Linked DNA regions of Rhinolophus ferrumequinum. The protein of the gene in region 3 binds, or shares a complex with, the protein of the main gene of each other region. Links are inferred from orthologs where the notes say so. Each region holds a gene or a part of one and is shown on either strand. Other genes may lie near its edges.

What was found.
Region 1: PLRG1 (region 3) and GPKOW share a complex: the UniProt entries of both Homo sapiens proteins name them as parts of the minor spliceosome. The link is inferred for Rhinolophus ferrumequinum from reciprocal best matches to the Homo sapiens genes PLRG1 and GPKOW.
Region 2: PLRG1 (region 3) and CTNNBL1 share a complex: the UniProt entries of both Homo sapiens proteins name them as parts of the PRP19-CDC5L splicing complex. The link is inferred for Rhinolophus ferrumequinum from reciprocal best matches to the Homo sapiens genes PLRG1 and CTNNBL1.
Region 4: PLRG1 (region 3) and CWC15 share a complex: the UniProt entries of both Homo sapiens proteins name them as parts of the PRP19-CDC5L splicing complex. The link is inferred for Rhinolophus ferrumequinum from reciprocal best matches to the Homo sapiens genes PLRG1 and CWC15.

Annotation. Positions count from the first base shown.
Region 1 is NC_046284.1:85,590,724-85,598,824, reverse strand, and holds the start of GPKOW (G-patch domain and KOW motifs-containing protein), read right to left. Parts: upstream 3,122-8,101; 5' UTR 3,053-3,121; coding exon of another isoform or gene 3,030-3,052; 5' UTR 2,934-3,029; coding exon 2,758-2,933; intron 2,015-2,757; coding exon 1,860-2,014; intron 1,765-1,859; coding exon 1,640-1,764; intron 1-1,639. Other genes in the region: uncharacterized protein LOC117016622, read right to left, coding at 4,158-4,165, 7,456-7,581. UniProt on the Homo sapiens protein: RNA-binding protein involved in pre-mRNA splicing. As a component of the minor spliceosome, involved in the splicing of U12-type introns in pre-mRNAs.
Region 2 is NC_046306.1:18,333,164-18,340,610, reverse strand, and holds the start of CTNNBL1 (beta-catenin-like protein 1), read left to right. Parts: upstream 1-4,353; 5' UTR 4,354-4,471; coding exon 4,472-4,501; intron 4,502-7,447. UniProt on the Homo sapiens protein: Component of the PRP19-CDC5L complex that forms an integral part of the spliceosome and is required for activating pre-mRNA splicing.
Region 3 is NC_046301.1:25,387,138-25,394,267, forward strand, and holds the start of PLRG1 (pleiotropic regulator 1), read right to left. Parts: upstream 3,154-7,130; 5' UTR 3,033-3,153; coding exon 3,024-3,032; intron 1,558-3,023; coding exon 1,451-1,557; intron 1,165-1,450; exon of another isoform or gene 1,089-1,164; intron 418-1,088; coding exon 275-417; intron 1-274. UniProt on the Homo sapiens protein: Involved in pre-mRNA splicing as component of the spliceosome. Component of the PRP19-CDC5L complex that forms an integral part of the spliceosome and is required for activating pre-mRNA splicing.
Region 4 is NC_046294.1:65,762,752-65,770,303, reverse strand, and holds the start of CWC15 (spliceosome-associated protein CWC15 homolog), read left to right. Parts: upstream 1-4,489; 5' UTR 4,490-4,606; intron 4,607-4,764; exon of another isoform or gene 4,765-4,840; intron 4,841-5,677; exon of another isoform or gene 5,678-5,850; intron 5,851-5,966; 5' UTR 5,967-5,974; coding exon 5,975-6,105; intron 6,106-6,719; coding exon 6,720-6,832; intron 6,833-7,446; coding exon 7,447-7,535; intron 7,536-7,552. UniProt on the Homo sapiens protein: Involved in pre-mRNA splicing as component of the spliceosome. Component of the PRP19-CDC5L complex that forms an integral part of the spliceosome and is required for activating pre-mRNA splicing.

The DNA.
Region 1 (8,101 bases), on a different chromosome or scaffold from region 3:
CACTTCAGTCTTTCAACAGATATTTACAAAGCACCTGTTCTGTGCCAGGTACTGTTCTAGGTGCTAGGGAGAAAGCAGTAAACAAAACAGACATAAACACCTGCTCTTCTGGAGCTTACATTCCAGTTGCGGGACACACAATAAATAAAATACATAAAACAGGATATGTCAGGTGGTAATAAATTATGTGAAGGAAAATAAAGCAGGTTAAGGAGCTGCAGAAGGATGGAGAAGGGAGTGTCACTGAGTTGATATTTGAGCAGAGACCAGAGGAGATGACAGAGAAAGCCATGAGGATGTGAGAAGGAAAAGTGTTCCAAGCAGAGAGAACAGTAAGAGCAAAGGTACTGAAGCAGGACAAGATCTGGTATGTCTGAAAAATATGAGGAAAGTCAACCTGACTGAACTAGAGATATGGATGTAGAGAGGGGTGGTAAGAGATTAATTAGGAGAGCTGGGCAGGAGCCACAAGGGAGACCATTGAGACAGTAACTGCAGCAGTCCAATGCCAGTAGTGATGCTAGTGGCTCAGACCAGCACAGTGGTAGTGGCGACGGGGAGAACTGTTCCGATTTTAGAGGTATTTTGAAAAGGAATATGATAGGATTCTGCTGAAAGATTGTATTGTGGTATGAAATAAAGAGGTGCGTCAAAGGTGGGTGCTAAGGTTTTTAGGCTGAGTAAGAGAAAGGATGGCTGTAAATGTGATCAACTGAGACGTGGAAAGCTGAGCAAGGAGGAAAACTGAGAGAAATGAGGCCAAAGCTGGAAGAGGATGGAGAGTGAAAGTCTTTTTTTCTTTTGTATGATGAAAGAAACCAGAGGACATCTGAAGGCTAATAAGAAAGTTCAGTCAAAAGAGATGGTGGTCTGGGGCTGTAGGAAAGTCAGGCTCCAAAGCACTGCAAAAAACAAACTGTGAATGAAGAGGTGAAAAGAGGGTCCATGGGTATGAAAGACAGACTTGGTTACTTATGTAGACACACCCGTTACCTCCCATCATCACTCCCGCAGTTCTTTATATTCGCTCCAGATACACCATAAATTGCCTCACTGTCGGACACGCACCACATTGATTTCCTGCCATCATGCCATGGTCTGGGTCATTGCTGCCATTAGGAGTACTCACCCTGCTCTCCCTTTTCTCACTAAACCCTACCTGTCCTTCCAGGCCTCACTCCTACCACTCTGGTTTCAGTCTCCATCACTACTGGTCACCTTGCTTCCACCTCTGCTTACTTAGTCTGTTCTGTTCACAGCAGCCAGAGAAATCCTGTCAAAACATAAGTCGTGTCCTTTCTCTGCTCAGAGCCCTCTCCTCACTCTCATCTCATTCAGACTAAAATCCACGTCCTCACCACAGCCCACAAGGCCCTGCCTAGTTCAGCCTTCCCACTGATGAGCTCATCTACGACCCCTCCCTCTCCCTCATTCCACTTCGGTCACATCAGTCCCCTTGGTGTTCCTCAAACACTCCAAAGGATGGAAGGACGGGTAAGTAGTATGCATCATCACACACACACACACACACACACACACACACACACACACACACTTCTCCTGCTGTGTGCAGGGAGGCAAGCCTGTCAGACAGGGAAAAGAGAGGCTGGGAGAGGAGGGGGGCGAGGGGCCAGCTCACTGTCTCAGCCTGGGGTTCACTGTCTGTGCCTTCCCCGTTGGGAGTGCATCCTTTCTGGATCATGGGGATAGCGAGCGTGGGGTCAACACCTGCATTCTCGCTCTCCTCCAGAGACTTCTTGGATTCTAAGGAAGAATGGGAGCAATGAGGTTCCACCCTTCCCTTCCATTTTCCTCCTGTTCTTCCTTTACTGGGGCAAGGCAAATGGGGGATCACTCACCCTCAATGAGCTCCTTCACAGCCTGGGACAGCACCCCATCCCCCATGGCCTCAATATCTGTGGATGGCCCCGGGGCCTGGGTTGGTGGCTGCCTGCGATGGCCATACTGGATCAAGGGGATGACGAGTTCCTTGGGGGCTTCTGAGGGCTTTACACTAATGTGAACACAGAAGGGTGAAGTTGGGAGAGTAGTATGGTCAGTGGGTTGAGCCACACCCCTTCATTCAGAGAAAACACAAGAGCCAAGCTCACCCCAAGTCCCATGGACAGCGCCCTCGGTTCTGTCTGGCTCTCCTGTTAGGTCTCTCATGGTACTTTCTTTGGATTCTCTCCTCCACCCCCAACTCCTAATTGTGCCTTTGGGGAATCAGTCCTCAGTCGATGGCTTCCACAATGACCCACAAATCACTATATTCAGCCTGTATTCTCTCCCCAGCTCCAGGCTCCACACCTGCCTCCTTGGCTGGTTGATTTTTTTCTGGAAATCCCTCCCTCAGACTCTCCTTTCCGGATTAAGCTGACGAAGGCATCCTCCAACCTGAATCTGTCGCTCCATCCCGTTTCCCCGTATCAGAGAAGCCCCACCGCATCAGTTGAGACATTAGGGGTCCTGTAATTCTCTCCTCTTTTCCTTCTCTCAGAACGCACACATCTCAGGGTTCCTAAATCCTAAAGACACTCCCTCTCAGGAATCCATCCTCTCTTGTCAATCCCCACGGCCATCAGGCTCAATTTCTCCACCTGTCCTACAAACTCCCGCCTTCTCGCCTCCACGAATTTCCTCTGGCGGTATTCAGGCTTTCCAGGTCACTGTCACCGAGACAATCAACTCAGATTGCACCCTCCCACTTGCACCCAGCGCACCGACTTCCAAGGGATGAACGACTCGGCGCTTCACCTCTGCAACTCCCTCCCTTCCACGGTCTTCAAGAAATCCTTCTCCTCCGGGGCCGCACCCGCGCCGTCTCCTGGGCCCGCCAGCCGTCTCCGGGCGGACGTGCGACTAAAGCTGAACGAAATCGGGGCAGTGGAGGCTCCCGCCGGCCGCAAAACACCTTCTTCCGCATCCGCCATCTTGCCCCTCTTCCCAGGCTGGTGAGCTGCTTGCTGGGAAGGTTAGTTTGGGCTCGGGTTGCCCGGGACCTGACAACTAGCGCTAGAACTACCTACCTTCCCACAAAATACTGCGGCATCGACAGGTGAAAGCGGGCGGTGGGAAGCAATTGTCGCCCTTTTTACTTCATAGGCGCGCGTCGCGCTAAGCATATAGGGAAATGTAGTTCTTCAGGGAGGTAGGCGTGGTAGGAGGCTGATTCATTCTTAGCAGATATTCAGTACTTCGTGTAGGCGTTTGACAAGTATTTATTGATCGCGTACTGTGTACACGTTACTGTGCCCTACTGGTGTGAGAAGTGTAGGCAAGATAAATCATTTAAGAAAAAGTGTGAATGCCAGTCGTGTACAATAAAAAATAATAATAGAGCCATGTAAATGGTGCCTACCGATACCAGATTTAATACTGGACAAGCTCTGGATTCAACTATTAATAAAAAATGCACCTCCTCCTTTCTAGAGGCTCATAGTGCAGTGGGGAGCAATGACACTTAAACAAATATTTAAAAAATATTTCCTATCAACATTAAATATGTTGTGAGACCCAGATCCTAAGTCTTCAAAAGATTAATTAGACAGGTTCCCCTTGTGTATGACCTTAAGAGTTAGTAAAGTAGAAGACTGTTACTTAAACAAATAGTCACAAGAAAGAATACTACAAATATACAAAAAATTCATCCCAAAGAAATCATTGAAGATGTGCAAAAGGATTTTTATATGAGATTCATCATACTATTATTGTAGCAAGATCTTGAAGACCTCTTAAATGAACAACAGAAGAGGATGAGGCAAAAAGAATTATAGTACATGTCTTGGATGGAAATCATATACTTGAGCCTTTAAATGTGAAGCTATAAATATAATGAAATGAAATGGAAATGTTTGGAAAGTAGAATCTTATGGTGGGGTCAGAGGATTGTCTTGAAAACAGGAAGCCCATTATTTGATCAATCTCGTGGCCATGTTTCCAGGCTTAGAATCCCTAGGCATCCTGGAAAGGGCCCTGGAATCTCGAGAGAGAAGCCACTGTGGTTTTCAAAATATACAACAACAAACATCTTTTAATTTTTATTTTGAAATAATTTTAGAATTAAAAATAGTAAGAGAGTTCCTGTATATTCTTCATCCACATCCACCTACAGGATAGTTAACAAGATTATGTGCTCTCTTGAGGGTGGTTACACTTCAGGGGTCTGAAAAAGAGACATTTCAAAGGTGTATTAACTTAGATGCACAGAAACAATGGATGGGGCTTGCTTAAGGCCAAGATAAACCTTTTACTAAAGAAGTTATATGCCTGGGATGAGACTACCCACCATAACCTACCCAATTAGGAATTTATGATCAATCACCATATGAGGTTACTTTTGATTAGATTTATTACAGTGCCCCTCCCTTTTTTGTCCAAAAGGGCTTTGTGAGCAATTAAGAGGAGGCAGGTATCTCCATGATAGCAACAAGCAAAACAGGAAAGAAACAGCTAAGGAGAGCCCATCTAAGGGGTTACTTCAGAGCAAGCTGCAAAGACTACCCTCAAAGCTTACCTACCCCATACAAAAGGCCTGACTTTAATTGGATAAAACTATGGAACAAATTATGCCCTACGGCATTGTCAAAAATTAGTTTAGATTAACAGCTGGGTATGGTATCAATATAGGCATACCAACCAGAAATTAAACTAGGAGATCAGGGAAAGAAACAAAGAGAGCCTGGATAAAAGTAAGGTCATTTCAGTGTGTCTGTGCTCATGCCTAAGGCTGAACCCTCTGAAGAGGTTCGTGAGGCAGAAATAGATTTGACTAAATTAGTATAATCAAGTCACTAAACAAACAAGCAAACAACAACAAAAATGGGCAGATCAGTACCTAGAGTTGCTACAATGTTATATAAAATGTCCAGTTTTCAACAACGAATTATGTGACATGCAAAGAAACAAAAAGATGTGACCCATATGTGGGGTGGGGTGGGGAAAAGGAAACAGAAACTGCCTGTTAGAGGGCCCAAATGCTGGACCTAGCAGATAAAGATTTCAAAGTGGTTATTATACATTTGTTCAAAGAAGTAAAAGAAATCATGTATAAAGACTTAAGGGAAGGTATGATACTGTGTTTCCCCAAAATATGAGCTAGCCGGACAATCAGCTCTAAAGAGCCTTTTGGAGCAAAAATTAATATAAGACCCGGTATTATATTATATTATATTATATTATATTATATTACATTACGTTATATTATATTGTATTATATTATACCGGGTCTTATATTATAGTAAAATAAGACCAGGTCTTATGTTAATTCTTGCTCCAAAAGACGCACGAGAGCTGATTGTCCAGCTAGGTCTTATTTTCGGGGAAACACGGTATGTAACAGTATTTCATCAAATAGAAAATGTCAATAAAGAAATAAAATTACCAAAAAAAAAATGACCAAATGGAAATCCCAGAGTTGAAAAGTACAATAACCAAAATGAAAATATTTCACCAGAAGGGCCAATAGTAGATTTGAACTGGCAGAAAAAAATAATCAGTGAACTAGAAGAGAGATCAATACAGATTATGCAATCTGAAGAACAGACAGTAAAAGGAATCAAGAAAAACGAACACAGCATCAGAGAAATATGGGACACCATTAGGTTCACTGACATATGTGCAATGGGAGTATCAGAAGAAGTGGATACAGGGCCAGCCCGGTGGCTCAGGCGGTTAGAGCTCCATGCTCCTAACTCCGAAGGCTGCCGGTTCGATTCCCACATGGGCCAGTGGGCTCTCGACCACAAGGTTGCCAGTTCAATCCCTCGACTCCCGCAAGGGATGGTGGGCTGCGCCCCCTGCAACTAGCAACAGCAACTGGACCTGGAGCTGAGCTGCGCCCTCCACAACTAAGACTAAAAGGACAATAACTTGAAGCTGAATGACACCCTCCACAACTAAGATTGAAAGGACAACAACCTGACTTGGAAAAAAAGAAAGTCCTGGAAGTACACACTGTTCCCCAATAAAGTCCTGTTCCCCTTCCCCAATAAAAAAAATAAATAAGTGAAAAAAAAAGAAGTGGAGACAGAGAGAGGAGCAGAAAAATTATTCTAAGAAATAATAGCTAAAAACATTCTAAATTTGGTTAATGAACTTTTAATCCACATGTTCAAGAAGCTTAATGAACTCCAAATAGGATAAATGCAAAGAGATTAATACCCAGACATATCATAGTCAAAATGTCAAAATCCAAAGAGAAAACATTGCAAGCACAAATGTAATTGCAGAACAAGCTCAAAATGGTCCTATCCTGTTCAAGGAGATACTGAGTTGCTTTTCAGAGACTACAGACCAAGACTGCAAGTCGTGCAGTCAGGGCATGTGCAGAGGAGAGAACTTTAGCCTCCAGCTGCACCTGGAACCAAAGTCTTGTCCCCCAACTCATGGAATCAAAGAACCAGGACATAACCGGAACTTGAACACCGGAACACTTTCAGAAGCCAAGGGCCCATTGTCCAGGAAGATCCGGTGTTGATGCCCCTTTACCATCAATGATCAAGATCCAAGGTCCTCCAATTAAAACTTGCCCCATCAGAACTTCCACATACCTGTTCCCCCTTGCCCCTTAAAAACCATTGGCCTGGTCCAGCGAGCAAGATGGCATTGAAGCACCACGAGGTTTTCCATCTTCTCATTTGGGCGCCTTCTCAATCAATAAACCTTTCCTTACTCCAAACTCTATGATGTTTTGAGTTTTGTCCAAGCATCAGGCACACGGATTTCGGTCTGGTAACCAATGAGAAAAATCACTCTTTACATACAAGGTAACCCCAGTAACATTATAAGCTGATTTACTATCAGAAGCAATGGGTTCAGTAGACAGCTAAAATCATTCTTAATGTGAAAGTTTGAATAGTTTCTATCCAAGATCAGAAACAAAACAACAATGCTGCTCTTGCTACTTCTATTTAATATTGTCCTTGAAGTTCTAATCAGGAAAGATAGACAAGAAAAAAGAAATTAAAGGTATCCAAATAGGAAAGGAAGAAGTAAAACCATCTCTATTGCAGATGACATTCTATAGAAAATTCTAGGAATCCACTAAAAAGCTATCAGAACTAATAAGCAAGTTTGGCAAGGTTACAGGATTGATCAGTATACAAAAATCAATTGTATTTCTATAAGCAAAATAAAAATGAAATTAAGAAAATAATTCCATTTACAAAAGCCTTAAAATAATAAAATACCTAGAAATAAATTTAACAAAAGAAGTGTAACAAATGTACTGTGAAAACTACAAAACATTGTTGAAAGAAATTACAGAAGACCTAAATAAATGGAGAGACATCCAACATTGACTTGTGCTAGATTCTCAGGCTGACCCTGTCCATTGCTCTCCTGCAGCTCCCATCCTATTAAGCTATCCTCTCCCTCCCCAAGGTTCCTTAAGCAAGTCTCCAGCTCATGGAGTTTTTAAGCTCCTCAAAAAACCCAAGGTATTTCACAACTTACTGTATTTGCCATGCTGGGAACTCCGAGTGGGAAGCAAGGGGGCCTTCCATGACAGGAGATTTTCCGTGACATTACTGTCTTTTTTATTTTTGACATTACTGTCTTTACAGTCCAACATGCTACCTGCTGGGGGATGGCAGAGGCTATGAAACCTGTTTAGTGAATCTCCATAGAAGCCACGTAGGTCCCGCCCCCTAATTTAACGATCTAGCTTTCATCTCTTTGAACTTACGTCGGGCTTTGACCACCATTTAACTACCTAGGCAGTGTCCTTTCAAGGCTTTGCCCACAGAAATAACTGTCTTTATCCCGCCTTCTTAAATAATAATCCTGGGACCGGCTACTTGAATCATCCTCCAGACCTTCCTACTTCCCTCTAAACACGCAGACCCTGCCCCTCAAATAACACCCTAGGCCCATCCGGGAGGGCGCACTCTCCAGGATTCGACTCCTGAACATTCCAGGCGCCACCCTCTAATTAGCCTACACACCTCAGCCATTCCCGACATTTCGAGCCCCGCCCACAATGCATTTATAGGGCCCACCCTCTAGACACCATTCCAGTCCCACCCCTTAGCTAAGTGGCGGCCACCAACACGCTCCAGGCCCCGCCTCCTCAGAAATGCCATTCTAAGCCTCGCTGACC
Region 2 (7,447 bases), on a different chromosome or scaffold from region 3:
TATTACATTTTTTAAAAATGGTTACAGCACAGCAGTTGGTCTCTTGGGTGGTGCCTTTCTCCCATCTCTCTCGTGGATGCCACTCTGAAATTAGTATCATCAATACATGTTTTTGGACTGCTGGATGCATAGCACATAGCTAGCTTTTTTTTGTTGTTGTTCCCTTGTTAGTTTTTTGTTGTTGTTTTGGGGTATAATTGACATAACATTATATTAGTTTCAGATGTACAATGTAATGATTCGATATTTGTATATATTGCAAAATGATCACCATGATAAGTTGAGTTAACATCTGTTCACCATACATAGTTACAAAATATTTTTTTCTTGTGATGGGAACTTTTAAAATCCACTCTCAGCTACTTTCAAATATGCAATACAGTGTTATTAACTATACTCACCATGCTGGACATAACATCCCCATGAATAATTCATTTTATAACTGAAAATTTGTACCTGTTTGACCTCTTTCAACCACTTTGCCCACCCCCACCCCCACTCAGGCAACCACCAATCTGTTCTCTATATCCATGAACCTGTTTTGTTTGTTTTGTCTTTTATTTTTAGATTCCACGTATAAATGAGATCATAAGGTATTTATTTTTTTCTGTCTGGCTTATTTCACTTAGTATTCACATAGCTCTTCTGGACTTCCATTTCCTCACCTTTAAAATTGGAATAGCATGTTGTTAGGATTTGGGGTAGGGATTTGAAGGTATTTGATAATATTAGTGCCAGGAATGAATGAATGAATGAATGAATGAATGAATCAATCAATCAATCAATCAATCAATCAATCAGTAGATTGAATGGCTCATTTATTAAATCAACAACTACTTAGTGAGGGCCAGTTAAGTGCTAGGTATTGTGTTAGATTCTGAGGTTATTATGGTGAACAAAACAGCACAATCTGTGCCCTTCTGGAGCTTAGAATACGGAAGGGAAAACAGATCCCAAATGAGTAAAAAGCAAATGAATATAGGAACACAAATCTCAAGTGCTCTGAAGATAATGGTCAGGAATTTTGACAGAGAATCTTGAGGGGAGGGGGAACTGTCTTAGATCTCGTAGTCAGGGAAGACTCCTCTGATGTGGTGACATTAAGCTGAGACCTGAAGGATGTGTGCTCCAAGTCTCATCCCCAGGGAGGTTCCCAAGGAATTTTTAATGGACTCTCTCATCAAGATAAAACTGAAATATCTTACTATGGCATTCAACATCCTCCATAACTGGGATTGCCAGATAAAATATAGGATGCCCAGTTCAATTTCAATTTCAAAACAGTTTTTAGTATGATATTAAATATTGCGTGGAACATATTTATACTAAATTTTTCATTGTTGTTGAAGTGAAATTCAGATTTAACTGGGTATCCTATATTTTTACATGCTAAATCTGGCGACCCCATCCATAATCTTCCCCAGTCACCCTCTCCTATCTATTTCCCACCATTCCCGCCACACACCCTATGCCCTGTCTACAAGAAATGGTCCAACTACCATATATTTTCTCATGCTGTTTCCTCTGCCTGGGTCACCAGTCTCCCACCATGTTCTGTGGGCAACACTCCTCATCCTTTAAACCCAGTCCAAATGGCCCCTCCGCTGGAAAAAGCCTTCCATGTCAGGGCACATTATCCCCATTGCAAGGTGCTCACCGAACCTGGTTCTCACAGGGGTTTGCCTTATAATTCTGTGTTTTAAGGCTTGGTCTCTAAACACACACAGACAAGATGTGAATGCCTGCGAAGGAAAGAGGATAAGGAATGTCTCCTTTTTCCCACCGTTCCCCCCAGTCCTGCTCAACTCCTCATAATACGAACATCAAACATCAATTAGCACTTTTCTGTTCTAGGCACTGTGCTAAGGGCTTTGCATGCAGCATCTCAGGTAAATTCCCCCTGATCTTATGAGGTAAATTCCGTTGAATCGCTACTTTACAGGTGAGTCAATCAGGAACATAGAGGTGAAGTCACGGGCCTCTGTTTTCACTCCTGTAAAATAAGGATCGTAATGATATCTTCCTCCTCCTTAGGTTTCCTTCCCAGCTAGAATGTCAGTTCCAAGAGGGCAGGAACTTTTTCTTATAAACTTCTATATCCTCAGAGCCTAGAATTATGTCTGGCATTGAGTAGGCCCTCGGTAAATACTTGTTGAGTGAATGAAGGAGTCACCTTACAGATGAGGGCATTGCAATTTAGAGAGAAAGTAACTTGACCAAGGGCACACAGGGAGATGTGGTAGAACTTTGACTAGAGCCAGAATCAGTGGTGTGTTGGTAAATGTTTAATAACCAACTCTCTGAAAAACCAGTATCCCTGATTTGAAGCATTTGTTGATTTCCATGATCTAAACACTCCCATTATGGCTGATTTCAAGCAACCAAGCTGATGTCAACCTGCTTGCAAATTTCCTGAAAATGTAACCATAGGCTCTTGCACATCTGTCTATACAAGTCGGCTCCAGCATACCAAGAACTAGGACATAATTCTAAAAGGGTCAGTTCTGAAGGGCATATCCCCACCATGACTCTATCCTGCCTCCCCAAACAAGGCACAGTCCCTACTTACAGCTAAGTAGAATGGGAAAAGACACCGAAATAACTCAGTTCCAAGCAGATTGCATAGGTGATTCTTAAAACACCAACAAACAAACAAATCACAAAACTCCTCTGCTTAAAACCTTTCAATATCTTCCCAATGCTCCTAAAATTAAATCTAGTCTCCTTACTACGACCCATAAGGCTCGTTGTGAAACATCCCCCTGTGTCAGGCACTGTGCTAGGCTTCTTGTAGCAGGATTTAATGGTGAACACCTGTAATTCCTGCTCTCACAGAGCCTGAGTCCCAACAAATGAGGCTGTCAATAAACAATAATCAACCACTAAGTACAAAATTACAAAAGCAAATATATGTGTAGTACAGGAGGTGCTAGGAAAGCGAATAATGAGAAGGGAGTGCCTACTTGGACTAAAGGTGAGTTGAGTTTACTCTAAGAAAGTGACATGTGAGACGTGAAGGATGAGAAAGAATTGGATGAGGTGTAGCCCGACAGAAAAGGAGAGGATCTAGCCCTTTGAAGAATAAAAATAATTCCTGTATAACTGGAGATAGTAAAGATGGGGTGGGGAAGATGGTTATAAATATTGCTATGGTCTGAGCATTTGTGTCCTCCCCAAATTTGGAAGTTGAAATCCTAACTCCCAAGGTGATAGTGTCAGGAAGTGGGGCTTTTGGGAAATGACTAGGTCATAAAGGTGGAGCCTTCATGAATGGGATTAATGCTTTTATAAAAGAGGCTGGAAAAAGCTCCCTCACCTCCTTTGCCACGTGTGGACACAGTGAGAAGGCACCGTCTATGAGCTACAAAGTAGTCCCTCACCCGACAACAAATCTGCCAGCGCCCTGATCTTAGACTTCCCAGCCTCCAGAACCGTGAGAAATAAATCGTGTTGTTTATAAGCCATCCAGGGTATGATATTTTTTCCACAGCAGCCTGAAGGGACTAAGACAAATATGAACATGAAGGGCAGGGGGCTAATGGCCAAGGGGACTGGGGGAGAGGCTTAACACCCTTTGAAGGTAGACCCTTCTTTAAATCCCAGGAGTGATTTGCTTCAATGATGGGCGACTTTCTCCCACAAGAAACCTTTTTATAGATCATCCAGTTCCCACCGGGTCTTGCATAGGTGAATAAACAGAAGCCCAAAGAGGGAAATGTGATCACCAACAGTTTTTCAGCCAGTAATAGTTGTGTGGCCTTGGACAATACCCTTTCTGAGCCACAACTGTCCCACAGAAGAGAGCCACCCATATAATTTACATTTTCTACTAACCACATTTAAAAAGTAAAAAGAAATTTGTGAAACTATATTTTATTTGACCCAGTAGACCCAAAATATTTCAACACGTAATCAAGAGAAGTCTTAAAATCCAGTGTATATTTTTTTTTACACTTACGGCACATTTCAATTCAGACTAGCCCTATTTCAAGCCCTCAGAAGCCAGCCACATGACGTTAGGGGGTATAGTACTGGACAGTGCAGTTCTATGCCTCAGTTTGCTTATCTGTGAAATGAGGATAAAATAAGGATAAAATTGTCTAAGTCACTGGAAAAAAGTGACAGCACTTGCGAAACACTCAATACTCCGCCCTGCACTTGGGGCGCGCTGGATAAACCTTGGCTCCTTAGGTCTTTTCTCTCAGGGCACCGCCCTCCTTCAAGTCTCCGCCCTCTTTCCCCACCCCTTCAGGCTCGGGGCGGAAGCAGTACTGTCGCAAACGCAGCGCACTTTACGGTAGCGCTGTCTTTAACCGCAGTGTGGCTGGCTCACGTGTCGCGCGCACTTTTACCTCATTGGCTCTGCGGCCCCGCTCACGGCGCTTTTCGGCAGTGTGGCTGGAGCCGCTGCTAAGAGGGCCACGGTTTGGACGTGAGTGGAGGGAACCAGTGGTTGGCTGGGCCTGGAACCATGGATGTGGGCGAACTTCTGAGCTACCAGGTAGGAGGGACGAGAGGGCTGGGGGACCGTACTCTCACTCCGGCAGGGGTGGCAGGTCGCAGTGCCAGAATCCCTTCATCTCACCTCCTTTCACCTCAGTCAAGGGCCCGGATCCCCTGACTTCTCATGCCACTGAGATCCGAGCCTCTCATTTCACTTCATTTCCTCTCGAGACACTCCTGGTCTCTTTCAGTTCATTCCTTCTCAAAACTCGAGCCCCTTCTCACCCTACCCTGGGGCCTGGTCCCTTCATCTCTTCTGAAGGCCCCAGACTAGCTTCACACCACCCACCTTCAGCTCTCTTCTCCAGTCATTGAGTTTGTGGTGGTGATGGTCGGACAGCATTGGTCTTTCTTGCATTTGAGCCCCAGCTTCTCCACTGACAGGCTAACGTGGCTTTCGGACAAGTCATTTAGCCCTGTTTGAGCCTCAGGTTTTGTATATATCAAACGGAGACAGTGATGACCATCTAGTAGGATTGTTTGAGGACTCTGTCAACTAGTGGATGTGAAAGCTGATTTTAAAGTGTAGAAAGCTGTCACCATGTTAACTGCAGATGTTGGGAGATGTTCGGAATTCTAGCCTGGGATGGGTCCCAAGGAATCTTGTCCCCCTTGCTCGGGGTACTTAGGGGGAAACGGTGGCCTAGAGGGCAGAAAGGATTTGTCCAAAGTCACTCAACAAGTAAGAGCTGGGATTAAGAGCTAGCTCCCAGCTCAAAAATTTTCCTCCCTCTTTTAATTTCCTAAAGAGGCTTCTTGTGAGTGACACTAGAGCTGTTCTTTCCAATATTAGTAGCCACTAGGCACATATGGCTACTGAACACTTGAAATGGGACTAGTCTGAATTGAGAAGTACTGGAACTGTAAAAATCACACTGGATTTGAAGGCTCAGTATGAAAAAAGTAAAATTTTTATATTGACTACACGACCATATTAATTATATCAATAACATTGGTTATTGACCATTTTAATTAAATGATTATTGTGGATAATGGGTGAAATAAAATATATTTAAAATAAATTTCACCCGTCTCTATTTACTATGTAACTATTAACCGCTTTGATGTGGCTACTAAAATTACTATGTAGCTGGCCTCATATTGTATTAGACAGCTCTGCAGTATAGAGAATAGGTAATTTAGAGTCATGAGTCTGGAGCCCCTGTTGCTTGGAATCTTTGTTTTGCTATAATAATAACTGGCTGCTATAACCTTGAACAAAAGACTTAACTTGTCTATGCCTTGGTTTCCTCATCTGTAAATGGAGGCAATGTTGGTACTTACCACATAGGTCTGTTGTGAAGCTTAGACTAATGCTTATCAAAGAGTAAACATTTAGTAGATGTTAGCAGTTATATTTGTGCCACTACCTCAGCTACTATACAAAGAACTGACCTTGGAGACTAGACAGAACTTGTACCGTGTCTCCCCGAAAATAAGACATAGACGGACCATCAGCGCTAATGCGTCTTTTGGACCAAAAATTAATAGAAGACCTGGTATTATATTATATTATATTATATTAATTATATTAATTATATTATACCTGGTATTATATTATATTATACCCAGTATTATATTATACCCGGTCTTATATTAAAAGAAGACTGGGTCTTATATTAATTTTTGCTCCAAAAGATGCATTAGAGCTGATGGTCCAGCTAGGTCTTATTTTCCAGGAAACACGGTAAGCAATGGGGAGAGAGACAGCCAAGAGATTTCTCTTTTTAAGATGGTAATTGAATGTGAAAGAAGAAAGGAAATAGGAGAGTTGTTGAATGAGTGGTTTGTCTATTTGGAGTTAATGGTACTCATTGACTCTTAGAATATCAAAGCGAGAAGAGGTTCATTTATTTGCTCAACAAATGTTTATTGAACCCCTCACTATGCGAGGTGCTGTGTCCACTGAGTATATGACGTTGAACAAAGCAGACAAAGTTCTTGCTTTTGTGGAGCTTATAGTCTGTTGGGAAGTAACAGGATAATAAGTGAGGAAACAAGAATTCAGATTGTGGTAAATGCTTTGAAGAGTACGCAGGTAATATTGTAGAGCAGTGTTTAGCGTGTTAGCCGTTGGGTACATGTGACTGTCAACACTTGAAATGTGGTTAGTTTGCATTGAGATCTGCTATGTGTGTAAAATACACACTGGATTTCCAAGATTTAGTATGAAAAAAATGAATATAAATATATTAATTTTATATTGATTATGTGTTGAAATGATAATACTTAGGATATATTGGCTTAAATAAAATATTATTAAAATTAACGTCACCTTCTTGAAAACTTTTAATGTGGCTATTAGAAAATGTAAAGTTATATATCTGGCTTGTTTGTGGCTTTCCATATATTTTCATTGGACAGTGCTGCTAAAGAAAATAACCTCCGGGAGTAGGAGACAGGACCTATTTAGGGAATACTGTCTGGGAAGGACTCTAAGGAATGGACATTAAAGGACTAAAAGTTGAGAAGGAACCAATCATGTAGAAAGGGCAGAATGATCAAGGCAGAGGGAATGACACATATATAGGCTGTGATGTAGAAGCTGGTGCAGCCCTGAGAGGATCAGAAAGAGCTTCAGTGTAACTGGTACATGCGGAGTGAGCAGGAGATGGCGGGGATGAAGTTGGAGATGCAGGCAGACGGTAGACTGTGTAGGCCTTCCTGTGGGCCATGATAAGGAGTTTGATTTTATTTGGAGAGCTGTGATAGATAACCTCATTCAACCCACGTGTTTGCAAATGAACAATGAACTCCATTTTGGTAAAGGGCCTTCCCTGAGGTGGTGGGCTCAGGTAGCGGCGGAGTTGAAACCAGAATTCTGATCTCCTCATTTCTCGCTCTGTTCATTCCCCACACGCACTATTCATGCATTTTCCTTTCTGAAAGATCAGGGTCCACTCCTCCTGTTACTGAAAGATAGTACAGTCTGGAATCTAGTCTG
Region 3 (7,130 bases):
TTCCACTATAACCAACTCCATATCCTAATGGTTTCTGCCACCATTATACTACCACTTTTATTTTTATTTCCTGTAGAACTAAAACCCACCAACCAATACATATCTCACTCACTATTCCAATGAGGAAATCTAGACTTCCATCATAATACTAGTGGTGTTAAAATACGGTATGGCTCTAATTAGTCTTCCACCAAGAGGGGCACTAATAAAATATTTCATTTATTTTTAAAAATTCACACGTAAGTCCTGGCATTTCTGACAATGCCACACTCACCTTGGTTGGCAGGATACTGTTTATGACCATATGAATCTGATGCATTCTGAGGGCCCTTCTCTTTAAAATTTTCTTTCGAAGTAGGCATATGCAACACAGGACCATACTCATTCCTCAGCTTGATTGCCATTTTTCGTTTGTGACTATTTTAAAAAGTTATAAACAAAGGAATGTATTTTTAAGTACTTCAAATATAGTCACCAAAATAAATATAGTCACAGATAGACAGGAAACAAGTACTTAAATAGCTTAAGTTTGCCTAATTATGTAGAAAAAGTTTCTATGAAGATTTTAAACATTTTAAAAAGCTCAAAATTTCCAAGTACATTTCCACACTTTTATTCACAACCCACCACACAGCATCCATTAAGTCTAAGAAATATTTTAGCTTGTTAACCGATAAATATAAAACCTTTCATGATGAGTTATCAAGGGTCTAACTGATTTTAAAATATATAGAAACAAATATATCTTTTTTTTAAAAAACCTCAGAATCAATACTCTCCTTCAAATGTCTAAATACAAAAATATAGTAAAAGCTTCTACAATAACGTTTACTAGATATTTTGAAGGTTAGAAATGATCGAAGTACTTAATTAGCTCAATATTTTATAAAGAAATGCACTTATTATATTGCTTTCAAGAATAGCCTACTTTACAAATTAAATATAAATGCTTGTTTGAGGAATTAAGTAGACTTTAAAAGAAGGGTGAAGAACAAAGAAGGAACACTGCACATAATGCAATCCTAGACTGGAGCTGGAGATGTAGAACCAAAAATATGCCACCACTCAAAAATCTTCATCATACTAACGAGAAAAGATGGGAGTAGAAGTACTGGCCAGGTACAATTTCAGCTCAGCAAGGCTCTGAGAGCAGCGGGAGGGAAGCTGAAAGCACATACAAAGTGATTGATTATAAAATAAAATACCTAAATGGGACTCTCCTAATTACTGGGTATTTGTAAAATGCAATTAATTAATTAAGTAATTAACTAATTAATGTAAAAGGCCAAAAAAAAGTTAAATCAGCTTAAGTTACTCCACTCATTACTGAATAGATATTCTGTGAGTGTTAGTGTTATTCACTAAACTCTAAAGGTACCCCTCTCCCTGCTCTCTTCCCCCAATTTTAGGAGTTTAAATATTCTAGCAATTGAAAAGGAACTATACCTACCTCTCTTCATCCAAAGGCACAGGTTTTCCATTATCAGCTACAAACATGTCATGGGTCCTCTTCAACGACCGGAACACAAGTGTATGCACAGAATGTTTCTGTACTTCCTAGAAAGAAAGAGTATAATTACATATCTAGCCACAGACTACACATATCAAACCTAAATTAAAGTCAAATTGTCATTCCGTTGCATGTTTAAATATGTCAAAAACTTTGCACCGCTCACCAGAGCTACTTGTAGCAAGCTACAGCAGTCAAGTTCAAAGGACGAAGCTCCCCTTTTTTGCTAGAACCCCAAGTATAACAACTGAATTATGCCTGAGATTAGTCATTTATTCAATAAAAGTTTACTGAGCTACTATTTGTCTGGTAGGTACTGTGTCTGGTAGGTATTGGGCTGAAAGCTAACAACAGAACGACAAAAAGATGGTCATGGTCGCTGTGCTCAAGATGAAACAAGACACATTTAAATAAAAATAAGCAAAAATAACTCCACATTTTGATAAGTACTGTGAAGAAAAGAAGCAAGGGACTGAGAGAGTGGAGCAAAAACTTAGGATAGTTATGAAAGATCTCTCTGAGGTGCTATTTAAGCAGAAAGGGTGTTAGCCTTGCACAGAAAAGAGGTTAAGAACAATCCAGGCAGAAGGAAAACACCATGCGCAAAGGAATTCAGTAACAGAAAAAATGCCAGGAGGGGCAGAACAATTGTATGTGTTTGGTGAGAGGGTGAGTTATGATGCAAGATGAGGTTGCGAGGGTAGACATGGTCCAGATCTAGTTAGGGTTTTTTGTGTTTTTTTTTTTTTTAGACCATTATAGCAGTCTGTATTTTTGTTCTAGCAGCATAGGGCCAGTAAAGGGTTTTAAGTAAGAAAAGCAGGACCAACTTACATTTTTAAATAGATTAACTTGTGTGTGTGTGTGTGTGAGAGAGAGAGAGAGAGCGAGAGAGCGAGAGCGAGAGAGAGAGAGAGATGGAAGGAAGGAGACCAGTTTGGAACCAACGCAACTGTCGAGATGAAAGGTGAGGTTGGTCTGAATTACGGTGATGGCAATGGGAATGGACAAAAGTCAAGAAACAGTTCTGAGAAAAGACAGACAAGGCTTGCTAATAGAATGGTTGTTCAAGCTAGGGAAAGATGCAAAAATTCAAGAACGGCAGATTTTCCTGGGGAAGAGCTAAAAGAAGAGACAGAGTCACCACGGGAGCAAACCGCCAGTCGCCTAGAACACAGATGCACTGACACCACCCCGCAGGCGGCGAACACGGCGGTCGAACATCGACAGAAGCCGCACCTCCGAGGGCAGCGCCCCGCTCCAGTGCCCAAGGGTTAAATAAGGAGGGGAGGCGTTAGCTTAGGCTTCCCGCCCGGAGGGAACCTCCAATTCGTGCTCTCATCCCCTGAAAAGCCTCCCTCTCTCCCTGAAAACCTAGAGACAACCTGGCCTCGGCCAAACAGCCTCCCTGAGCAGCTTCTACTCTCCCTGGATCCCCTCGATCCCCCGTGCCTGTCGCCAAAGGAAAACAGTCCAGTAGCAAACTACCCCTCAGTACCAAATGTCACTTTACCTCAACCATGATGCTGCCGTGTATTTCCCCGCTCTGGCAGGAAAGATACTAATCACCAACAGAGAAACCGCCGCCACAACTGCAGCCTCTTCCGGAATCTGGCGCCCTGACGCCGGATGTGACGCAGCCCCGCACGTTGCGCGCTGGTCTCCCGCAGGCTTCCCGGGGTTGAGGCGCCGCCCTTTTTACCCTCCGGGCCGCCGCTGGGGCAGAGTCTCGGGGCTGCGGAGCGGACGCTCCGGGAACACGTGTTTTGCTAGGTGTAAAGAAAAATTGATGGAATTGGACATTTTCAAACTTGAATAAACAAACATTTCCCTGGCTCTGCTTATTCCTTAACCATAATCAGTTCCACTGATCTTGTCCCCGGAGCATACTGCATGTACTTGGAGGAGGGGGTGTGCAATCTATCAAAAGTATAGCAATGTGGATTGATCTTCCCATTTAGAAATGTATTGATTTAAATTAGTTAAACACATTAAAGTCATACTTGAAAAGGCAGTCATCCCCGAATTTGAGTGTAAGTTTTGCCTAAGAACTGATTTTCTCTAACAGTGGTCACTGATGTTAGGGCTTGCAAGGAAATATCATAATTACAAAATACATACTGTACTAGTGACACTAAATCTTGTAACTATAAAGACGGTAATAACTATACAAAAGAACATGATTTTAAATGGCAATAAAGTTATAGAAATGTAAGCAAGATTCTAATATGTCTATAGCAATATAGTAACTGTCTATTTGGGTCTATTAGCTTGTTAGTTACTATTCCTGAAAAAAAATGTAAGCCCAGACTCATAAAAACATTGTAATGACTGAGGTAGATTGGACGAGATTATGCTCCTTTTGAAAAGCTCTCTTAAATTTACAGAATTATATTATCCACTTGAAACTTTTAGAGAGCTCCGTGACCGTATTACTAGCTCAGGGATCCAAGAATTACCTATATATAGTATGTAAATTTTGTATTTATGTAAGAACCTGAATTTTGTTCTGGTGAAGGGATCTATAGGTTTCTTCGGATTCACAAAATGATCCACGACCCAGAAAAGGTTAAGAATCCCTGTCCCGGTTGACACCCGGAGCTGCCTTATTTGAGCAGTAGGGGTCACTGTTGCTCTTCATAAGGATAAGAGGATTTTCGTTACACTAAGACACGGGAGATAATACAAGTTATCATGTCTTTTGGAATTCCTGAGATCAGAAACAGAAAAAGAATACTTGGACATTTCTATCAGGAGTTTGGTCTTTAGTTGTTTATTACAATGATAAGAATGGACCCAACTGCTGAGGTAGTGTTTTCAGGTGCTTTCTGATAACACAGTTGAGAGGAAAGCTTTTGGGACTACAGGAGACAATGAGGGAGCTATTCTTCCACTTAATGCCTGGGAAGGCCTGGTACATAATTAAGCTACACTGTCAATTATATACATCTTAGTAAGCTGTGTGTGTGTGTGTGTGTGTGTGTGTGTGTGTGACGGGAAGAATGTGTTTTTTGTCACAGTTTCACTTTCCTCTATGAAGTCACATCCCATATCACAAAAACAAGAGTCAAAAGTGAACATGATCATGACTCATAATTTATCTTTATTTGTGTTTCCATTTTTGCAAAAATATGTCAGTGTTTATGCTGACAAAGTAAAAATTGCAATGTGACATTTCCAGTTTTCTTAGCTGAGTCCATATACCACCGTGTTCGATGGTAATATTTGTTTATCTGTATTTCCCAACAGACATATGGAGTGAGTATGCTGTGATATTCACTATTACACACCCAGTGTCTAGTTGACTTGCAACTTATATGCTTTCAAAATTTGTTGAACGATTGAGTAAGGAAGATGTTAAGTTTTAGACACTTAGATATGGGGTTGGAAGGCAATGAGACATAAATTTTGATGTGGGGTTGCAGATAGTAAATCTATAGGAAGGATATTGTGTGTGTGTGTGTGTGTGTGTGTGTGTGTGTGTGTGTGTAATGTGCTCACCCTTGAAAAGATGCTACTATTTCAACAACCATTAATTTAATCTTAACTCTTTTCTATGTGTAAGGCAGAGAATTGCTTGTATGAGGAGGACAGTCTGTCTTTCTAATCATAGTAAATTTTAAGAAAAGGAATTATTTTTCACTATATTTAGGTAAGTTAGTGCCAAATTTTGTTTCGTGTATTTCAAATTTAATTCTGATACTAACTTAAATGATACTAATTTATTTGTAAAAACATATGATTTGCAAAAATGGATTTATTTGGCAGAAAAACTTCCTGACATCAATAATTAAGAGGATTAAAGCATACTGATTGTATGAATATTTTACTATTATAATTTAGACATTTTTAGGCTTTCTTTTAAAATACTACCAAAAGTCAGCGTCATGTTTATAGGTTAACATTAAAAACATTCTAATTAGCCAGCCACAAAACTAGAATTCCTATTATCACCATTAGTATGCACACATTTTTGTCCTGAAAGTAGTAGTCATGCAATTGGATGAGAGAAAAAAAATAAGTGGTGTGAAATAAGAAATAATGAAACAAAGCTATCTTTATTTGTGTATGGTATGATTTTATGCCAAAAAGAAAAAAAAAAAGAAATCAACTGGAGAAACTATTGGAAACAATAAGAGAATTCACTAAAATATAATATCTGAGTACAAAAATAGTATTAAAAAATCAATAGCTTTCATATATGCAGTTAAAAATATAATGAAAAAATGATTTTATTTGTAACTTATAAATGATAAAAGCGCAAGACTTAAATAAAAAAAATTTAGAGGACATAAAAAAGATTTGAACTAATGAAAATGCATACCTTATTCTTGGATAGGAAGACTCAAAACTATAAATATATCTAATGCCCCATTAATCTAATTCTGGGCACATTTTACAGAAAATATTGTTAATTTAATTCAAGAAATAGTTACTAAATAGTGAATTTTTTTAAATGAATGTTACTAAAACTCTCCAAAATAAAATAAAAGTTGTAATATTTTACAGAGTTTTACTGCTGGTACTATATACTTCAGTACACAAACTTTTCATCATTTATTGTAATATAGCTTCTCTTTTGAAGATGCAATTTATGCTTTAAAAAAATAGTCTGATTTCTATTGATCTTAATTTTCTCTTTGGATTAGTTTAGCAAATCTGAGAGGCCATCTCAGCCTAATTTACCGAAAGATAATAGGGAGGGGGTGGATACTATTAAGGACATCAGGTGTCTCAGAGACTTGACAGAGGAATCAAATGAACAAGTTTAGAAGTTTTGATTATTTCTGCTGCTGGAGTTTGGAGCCTTTCCCTGTAGAATGCTGGTATGACCCATCTACCGGGCTAATTGACCTGATTCTCTGCTTATGTCCTTTGCAAACATTAAATTAAATTAAATTGGGTGAGAGAAGCTGATAGCGCTGACTTAGGTAAGGGTTCTACTCCTAGCTCAGTCATCTGTGGCTAGAGAGTCAGGATATCACAAGACTAACAGGACTATGCCTGCATTTTAGGGGTCATTCTATGAGAAGGGAGTAGCACTCCAACAGGTGTTCATTACATCCCTTGTCGTTTTGAGTCCCAATATGACAGAAGCAGAAGAGCATCTCTGTCTCTTCTCCAGCTCTTGTTATCAGCATTGGGTTGAACAAGAAAATATCCTATTTTTCCCATATTGCCATGCTCTGTCTCAGCTCCCTTAAGAAAAGCAAACTGTCATCTTCCAAATCAATAGAGGGAGACTCACCTCAAAAGACAGAGCCAACCCCTACTCTTCTCTGCAGCATGTTTTCCCGTCACAGACAGCTAACCAGTTACAGCTGTCACCATTACACTAATTTCAGGTCCATCAAAGCTCTGGTTCAAGAGGGCCTCCAACTCTTCAGTATTAATTTCCCCTTAAGTAGTGGTTTTCAAACTGTAGCTCAGGATGAAACAGGAAAAAAACACACAGAGACTAATAATGACTTAGTATAGTTTCTCAAAAGCTATGCCTATTTTGAAAAGAGAATCGGTATTTTATTTGTTCAGTCATTCACTCATTCATACATTCAAACCTTGTTCAACATATATTTATCAAATACCTTCCATGTTCCAGGTGTATAAAATATACCATACA
Region 4 (7,552 bases), on a different chromosome or scaffold from region 3:
TTAAATTAGAGTTGTGATTGGATTGGGTGGGGCTGATTGAATTAGAATTTTGAGGGACATATATGCCTGATAATCACATGATTTTTCATTTAGAGATTCTTTCCTGAAAAATCATCTTTCTGGGTCTTGGTGTATGTTCTTTTCAAATATGAATTTCAGACTAGTAGAACATAAATTACCTTTTTCTCCTTTAAAATATAAAACTATTAAGGCAATCCTTTTTACATCAAAATGTGATTTCCACCCCCCAGTTAAAACTCATTCATTCATTCATTTATTCATTCATTTAGTCACTCATTTGTAAAACGTTTATGGGCGCCTGTTGGTGCCAGACATTGTTTTAGATGTGGGGACTACATCACTGGGCAAAACAGACTCCTCCCTTGTAGAATTTATATCCTGCATGTGATAGGTAGAGAAAGAAATAATAAACATAAGTAAATTTATAGGATCATGGAAAACGATACGTGCTAAAGGAAAAGTAGAGCAGGATAAGCGAGATAAGGAGTGCAGGATGTTACAGGACAAATGTGGAGGAGGGTTGCCAGCTATAAACAGGGCTGTCTTAATTGGCTGACCTCATTTGAACAAAGACTTGAATAAGACCGGCAAGAGTGTTCTTAGCCAGGGAAATAGCTAATGCAGGAGCTATGCTCAAACAACACTAGGAAGGCGTGTAGCCTAGAGAGGCATGATCAAGAGAGGTCAACACGTTGAGGAGAACCTTGTAAGTCACTGTGAGCACCTTTGACTTTGACTGTGAGGGAAGTGGAGTCAATGCCTCCCTGCTGTCTGACTGGATCCCCTTTGCACCCAATCCCATCTAACAGTATTATTAATTTTTAAAAATTGTTGACAAACTAATGCTATAATGTGATAATTGTTAGTTTGCTTTCATTTTCTTAATGGGGTGCTTGAGTCTTTCATGTTTATTATCTATTTGGAATTGCTTTTTCTGAATAGCCTGTTTACATTCGTTGCCCAATTTTTTTATTGGGTTGTTTGTATTTTTTATATTATGTGTATTAATAGTAGTGGGGTAGTCATAATCCTTCATATGTTAGACACATTACAGAATTCACCTGCTAATCTGGAGTTTATCTTTTACAAACCCTAGTTTGTATAAATAGTCTTAAATTTTCTTCTTCGATTTCTTCAGTTACTGTTTTCCTTTGGGGTGTTTAATTCAACTGGACGTAGTGTTTGTGTAGGCTTTGAAACCAGAATTCCTACATTACATCCTGCTATAAGAATAGTCAGTTTTGCTATCATAATTATACAAAACATTCTTTTCACATTGAATTAAAATACAACCGTGTCATGTTAAAACGAAGGAGCAATTTTTAAGGTTAATATGTACTACACCATATCCAAAAACTGGTAGGAATGAACTGAAAGGGATGGATTAATAGATTATGAGAGACAGGAAATATAGTAGGATGCCAGTCACTAAGCAGACTAGAGGGACTGGGACCCAGAGCACAAGGGAGAGGGTTTGGGTCACCTCACCTCTAACACATAGAAAGCTGAGGGCATGGGAAAAGTCAAAGGCAGCTCGGTAGGTCTGCTGGGGAGCAGATGAGGAATCCTTGTTTAAGAGCTTTTATTTTCCCTGAAAAGTTAGACGATTGTCCGCTCTTGGGAAAGAGGACGAGGAAGGCCAAGAGGGTAGAAGAGGCATACAGATTTGAGGAAAGAGAGGAATGTGAGAAATCATATTATTGCAGAGTGAGAAAATAAACAATTAGGACAATATAAGAGGACTGGCAGGCAGAATTAAGGGCTCAACTAGATTTTTGTGGTAATAGGTTTAAAATGAGAATTCTTGGGAGGTAATAAATGATTTTTGCCAGCAAGCGTAGCTGAAAGGATGAATTTTAAAGTTTTAGTAAACTTACTTTTCATTTCTTTTTCAAAGACTTTCAAATCATTTTAGTCAAAAGCTTTACAGTTTCATTTTCTTATTAGTACTTTACAATCACTTAAGTAAAAAAAAATTAGTTTCTTTTTCTTATTAATACTTTCAGAGCATTTAAGTCAAAACTTTTAATTTTGTGGACTGATTATATTGCATGTTGGTGTTAATTATACCACTGCTGGTAAATTACAAGTGTGGTTATTTAACCATGGATAATGATCAAAAAATTAGGCTGTGGGCCAGTAGTTAAATGAATCAGGGTGATTGGCTCAGGGTTGATAAGGCAGTTGGAACACAAAAATCAGGGGTATTTTCTATAATTGTGTCACCACCTTGTCATTGTTACTTCATTCCTCCACTTCATAGTGCATCAATCATTCATTCATTCAACAAATACTTACTCAGCACCTATTATGTGCCAGGCACTGTTCTATATGCAGAGGATACACCAGTGAACAAGAGAGACAAGGTTCCTGATTTTCTGGAACTTATGTTCTAATATAGGAAGATAGACAATAATAAAAATAATATTAATAATAATAATAGCTAACATTTATTTAGCAAGTACTGTTTGCTGAGACAGTTTTAAGCACTTTACAAATATTAATTCAACTAATCCTTATAATAACATTATGAAGTACAGTGTAGAATTTTCCCATTTTATACGAGGAAACTGAGGGCACAGAAAGGGAAAACAACTTGCCTAAGGGTACACAGCTAGGAAAGGGCAGAACTGGAATTTAGAACCAAGCCTGTCAGGCTACAGGTTTCTTTCTCTTAATGACTTTGCTATGCCGCCTTTCAGACAATAAATAAGGCAATAAACAAATAATGAACAAATTCAGGTAGGTTTAGTATTATGAAAAAAATAAAACAGGGTGATGTGACAATATTTGTGTGTTGGAGGAGTAGGGATGCAAACGTAGATGTCAGGGAAAACTTCACTGAGGAGGTGACATTTGGACTGAGACTGGAAGGATGGAAATATAGGTATCTTGGAGCACAGGCAGTAGAGAAAAGCTAGTGTAAAGGAGACTTTCCTTGTTTGTGAAACAGAGATGCCCAGTTGGCTGTGCTAGAACTTAGTGTGAAAGAAAGTGACTGATTAGAAGTGAAGTCAGGGAGGTAGGCAGGAGGGGCGGCCTGATGGGTCCTCAGGCCACAGTAAGAAATATGATTTTTATTCTAACTGTAATGGATTTTTATGCAGAACAGTCACACTATGTGATTCATAATTTTAAAATATCACTCTCACTGCTACATGCAAAATTGAATGTAGGACAAAGGTGGAAGCAGGAAGATCCATTGGGAGGCAGTAACAATCCATGTGGAAAATGACGGTGGCTTGGACTGGGATATTGGCAGTAGAATGAAATTTAGGGTATATTTTGGAAGTTGAATTGGCAAGACTTGCAAAGGAAATGGATGTGAAGAGTGAAGAGAAAGGAATTTAAGAAGCCTTGGGATTTGGGTTTAAGTAATGGTATAATAGTGTCCTTTACTGAAATGTGTGACACTTGAGTAATACCTTCAGTAAGAAAAAAATCAAGATTTACATCTTGAACTTTATGGAGAAAGGGAGTTTGTCTACTTTTTATTTTTTTCCATTTGAAAGTTTCAGAGTTCTGGGAAAATAAAATCATTTTGATGTTTAATTTTACAAGCTCTTTTACATTTGAAACTAAGTTGAAGGAGCTGAATTTTCATTTGTTTAACCATTTATTGAGGATCTACTATAGCCAAGTGATGAGATACCAAAATAAACTAAGCAAACCAGATCTCTGCCCCCAGAGTGTTTTTCTTTGGGGGGGGGGGGGAGGCAGAAGGGGGCGGAGGAGAGACGGAAGAACAATTCATGCTTTTTTTTCCTGTTCGTTGTCTTTTGAAAACTTCACCTGACGCCTGAGTAGCCATCTTATAATAATTGCATCTCGTGCTCCTGGCAGTTGGGCCCACCGTTCTAAACGCTCAATTAATAAATGAATCTCTAATAGTGACATCTCCCCTCCCGCTAGAACTTAGCTTTTTTTAAAGTAAAAATTTTCCCAAACAATACGAATACAACCTTTGCTTTGAAGACTAATATTTTGGCAGGAATGGTACCTTTATAAAGATCGTGGTTGCCCCCGTACATATTTGTTCTTTCTTCATATCCAATTAAATGAAAATACTAGTTTTTCCGTAGCCCAACTCTCTAGGCTTGTTGGGTCTAGATCAGGAGAAAGGCAGCAGGAGCCGTTGGATTTAAACAGTTGGGTGTAATCCTTTTCTACGCTCTCTCTCGCTAGCCGGGGACGTGGTGTCGGCTACCCGGGGCTTTCCGTCCACGCAGTACCGGAATGAAGGAGTCTGGGAGGGGGTCGGGGAAGGAAAAGACGGAAGAGACATTAAGTAATTGGTTCTTGAAGGTATAAAATCATGTTTAGGGTATGCTCTAAAGCACGGATTTCAAACGCCCGCCCCCTGGGCTGTTTCGACCCTGCCCCTTGCTGTCGTCACGCCGACACCACCTCGGTCTCTGAGGATTGGTCGAGGCTTCCGCCTCTGAAGGGCGGCTAAAGTGCTTGCGGTTCGCTTCCGGGTCATCGGCATTGGCCCCTGGCGCAGAGGATTCTGGGAGTCAGGAGTGGTAATGGTGTCTGAATCCCCTTCGACGGCTGCTGCATCGGATCTCGGCCAACGTGAGCGGTGGGAAGATAGCAGATTGTCTTCGTTATCCGACTGGGGCGGGAAAGGGCGGTTTGGATCGGAGTCGCCGACGGAGAACCGAGCGCGGGCGGAGCAGGCCCTGGAGCTGGGGGCGGGGGGTGGAGCTCTGCACCTGTGGGCGCGTCTCCAGTCCCGGGGGCCCCGGAGAGTGCAGCGCCGAGGCAACGCTACAGACCGCGTTAAGCAGGGTCTGGGCCTCGCATCGATCGCGGGGTAGGGCAAGGGGAAGAGTCAGCGAGTTCCTGGTGACCTCCCGAAGGCGAACTCCCGGGTGGCCAGAGTGACAATTGTGCGGAGGGGGTGTGGGAGGCAGCGGCGCCCCCAGCGGCAGGAAACCCTGTTTCTCCTCCACTGGACACATCTTTTTACCTTTTTTTTTAAAATCTAGAGACGTATACTACCAGTTAGTTACCCCAACTTCCTCCATGCACTTGGTTTTCTGACGCTTACCGGGATTTTAGTAGCCACATCTGCTGGGTGTGGTATTCTTTCGACTATTCAAAACCAAAAGTAACGTAAAGAACGAGTCTCTGATCTTATCACAATTCTTTGGGGGTGAGATTCCTGTCTTATGAGCGTTCCTTAAGTTATAACCTACAAAAGACCTGATTTTATATTACGTTGGCTGCTGTAAGAGAAAGTTGGGTCAACAGAAGGTTGTTGGAGAATTCTTCCCATGTAATTGTCATTGAAGTTTAGCACTTTTCTCCAGGACACTCAGTAATTGTAATTAAGGTATTATTTTTGTGATTTTTAAAATACTCTTTTTGTTTTTGTAGTTACTAGCCTATTTTCTGTTGTGTGAGGTTTAGTAGGTTGTTGCAAAAGTAATTGCGGTTTTTGCAATGTTTAATCTTTTAAACCGCAGTTACTTTTGCACCAACCTAATAGATAAAATGCGAACTTTAAGGAGTCTGGTGGAGTAAGGTTGAGTTGAGAATTTTTAAGACTCAGTCATGGCAGTATCATATTTTACAAGAGTTTTGCCATGGCAAATCACATAATAATTCTATGACGAATATCCCCATTCCACAGATGAGAGAAACTTAAGCTTGGTGACTTGCTCAAGGCCACAGAACCAGAAGGAGAACGGGAACACAAATTCAGATCTTCGTGACTAGAATTTTTTGTACCAGATAGGAGCTTCCTAACAAGCCATATTCCTTGTACCTCCCTGAACCTCATTTTTTTCCCCCGTGGAACTTTTGTTTGAGGTTATTTAAGTAAGTTTTGGGGAATGAGCTGTGGAAATTACTTCACAAGGGTGAATATTGATTAATACTTTATAAAATGAGATTTTGCCATATGGGAAATAATGTGATATTATTTTTCTTCAAAGCGTAAAAGATGACAACAGCAGCTAGGCCAACTTTTGAACCTGCAAGAGGTGGAAGAGGAAAAGGAGAAGGTGATTTGAGCCAACTCTCAAAGCAATATTCAAGTAGAGACCTACCTTCTCACACAAAGATAAAATACAGGTAATGAAGACTCATTTTTTTCGTGTTCACAAAGCAAAATCAAATCTGTTAAATAGTATGGTCACGAGATAGTAGCATGTTTAGCTTACATTGCTTAAGTTATCTATTTTCATGGGAGTAGAATGCAGTAGTGTATAACACTAAAATTATGTTCTGTGATTGTAAAATACTAGCAGATATTCCTTAAGCAGAAATTCCTGTTTAACCAGGAATTTCTGTATGTAGAAATTCCTGTTTAACCAGGAATTTCTGTATGTAGATAAAACAGTAACTAATATATTAACTCAGAGGGACCATGCACTATTACTACTAATCAATATGAGATCAAAAGTATTCCTGTAGCAGGACCTGAGTTAACATACTAACAAAAAAGTAAAGACATTTTAATCAATCTGCAGCCTTACGGGGACATACATGATTTCAGTTTGGGCTTCTTGAAATCTGGAAATATCACAAGGATGCCTGTTAATAACCTTCACATTAGGATAATAATTTTGTCCAGTTCCCTCTTTCATACTTGAGGGACTCGAGGACAAAGTTGCTTTTTGTGAATTATCTTCCATTGCTACATCCTGGGGTTGTTTTTTAACACTTTTGTCCTGGTTTGTTTCTAGACAGACCACTCAGGATGCCCCTGAAGAGGTTCGGAACCGTGACTTCAGGCGAGAGTTGGAAGAGAGGGAGAGAGCTGCTGCAAGAGAAAAAAATAGAGATCGTCCAACCCGAGGTACAAACACTGCCCCGACATTTGTCTCATAAAATTATGTTGACAGTAGTTTTTCTTTCATGGGGTAATTGGAATAGATTATGTCTTTTGTTTTCTTTTAAATATTGGTATGGCCTGCAAAACTTTCTTGAATGATGAGAAGTGATAATGAGGTCAATTTCAGGTCCATCTTTTTATGATTCTATATCAGAAGGAAAAGGTTGATTGGGGCTATTTAGCAGCCATTGTTTCAGTTCAGATCAAGGAGTTATTGGTTATTTACAAGAGCCACACTTTTTGGAGCCCCGTGATTTCAGTCTATGAAATTTTCCCATTTTTGTCACTGGCTATAGGAAGGTGACATCAGTTATTAATATAATGTCTTTTATATTTCCAGCATATGTAAACTATTCTCTAAATTCCCCTGAGAGAGGCTGCAGTTCCCATATTAAAATCAATACTTTCATTAATTCTGTCAACAAATATTTACCAAGGATTTATTTGCCAGGCACCATGGTTTTGATCCCTGTTGTCATGATGGTTATAGTCTAAGCTCTTTGTGCCCACGTCCCTAAAATGTTTTAAGAAGTACAGTATTTGTTTCAGTAAGCGAAGTGATGTTTGTTTTTTTCCAGAACATACAACCTCCTCTTCTGTGTCAAAGAAGCCTCGGTTAGACCAGATTCCCGCTGCCAACCTCGATGCAGATGATCCTCTAACAGATGTATGTTTTGTTAACTC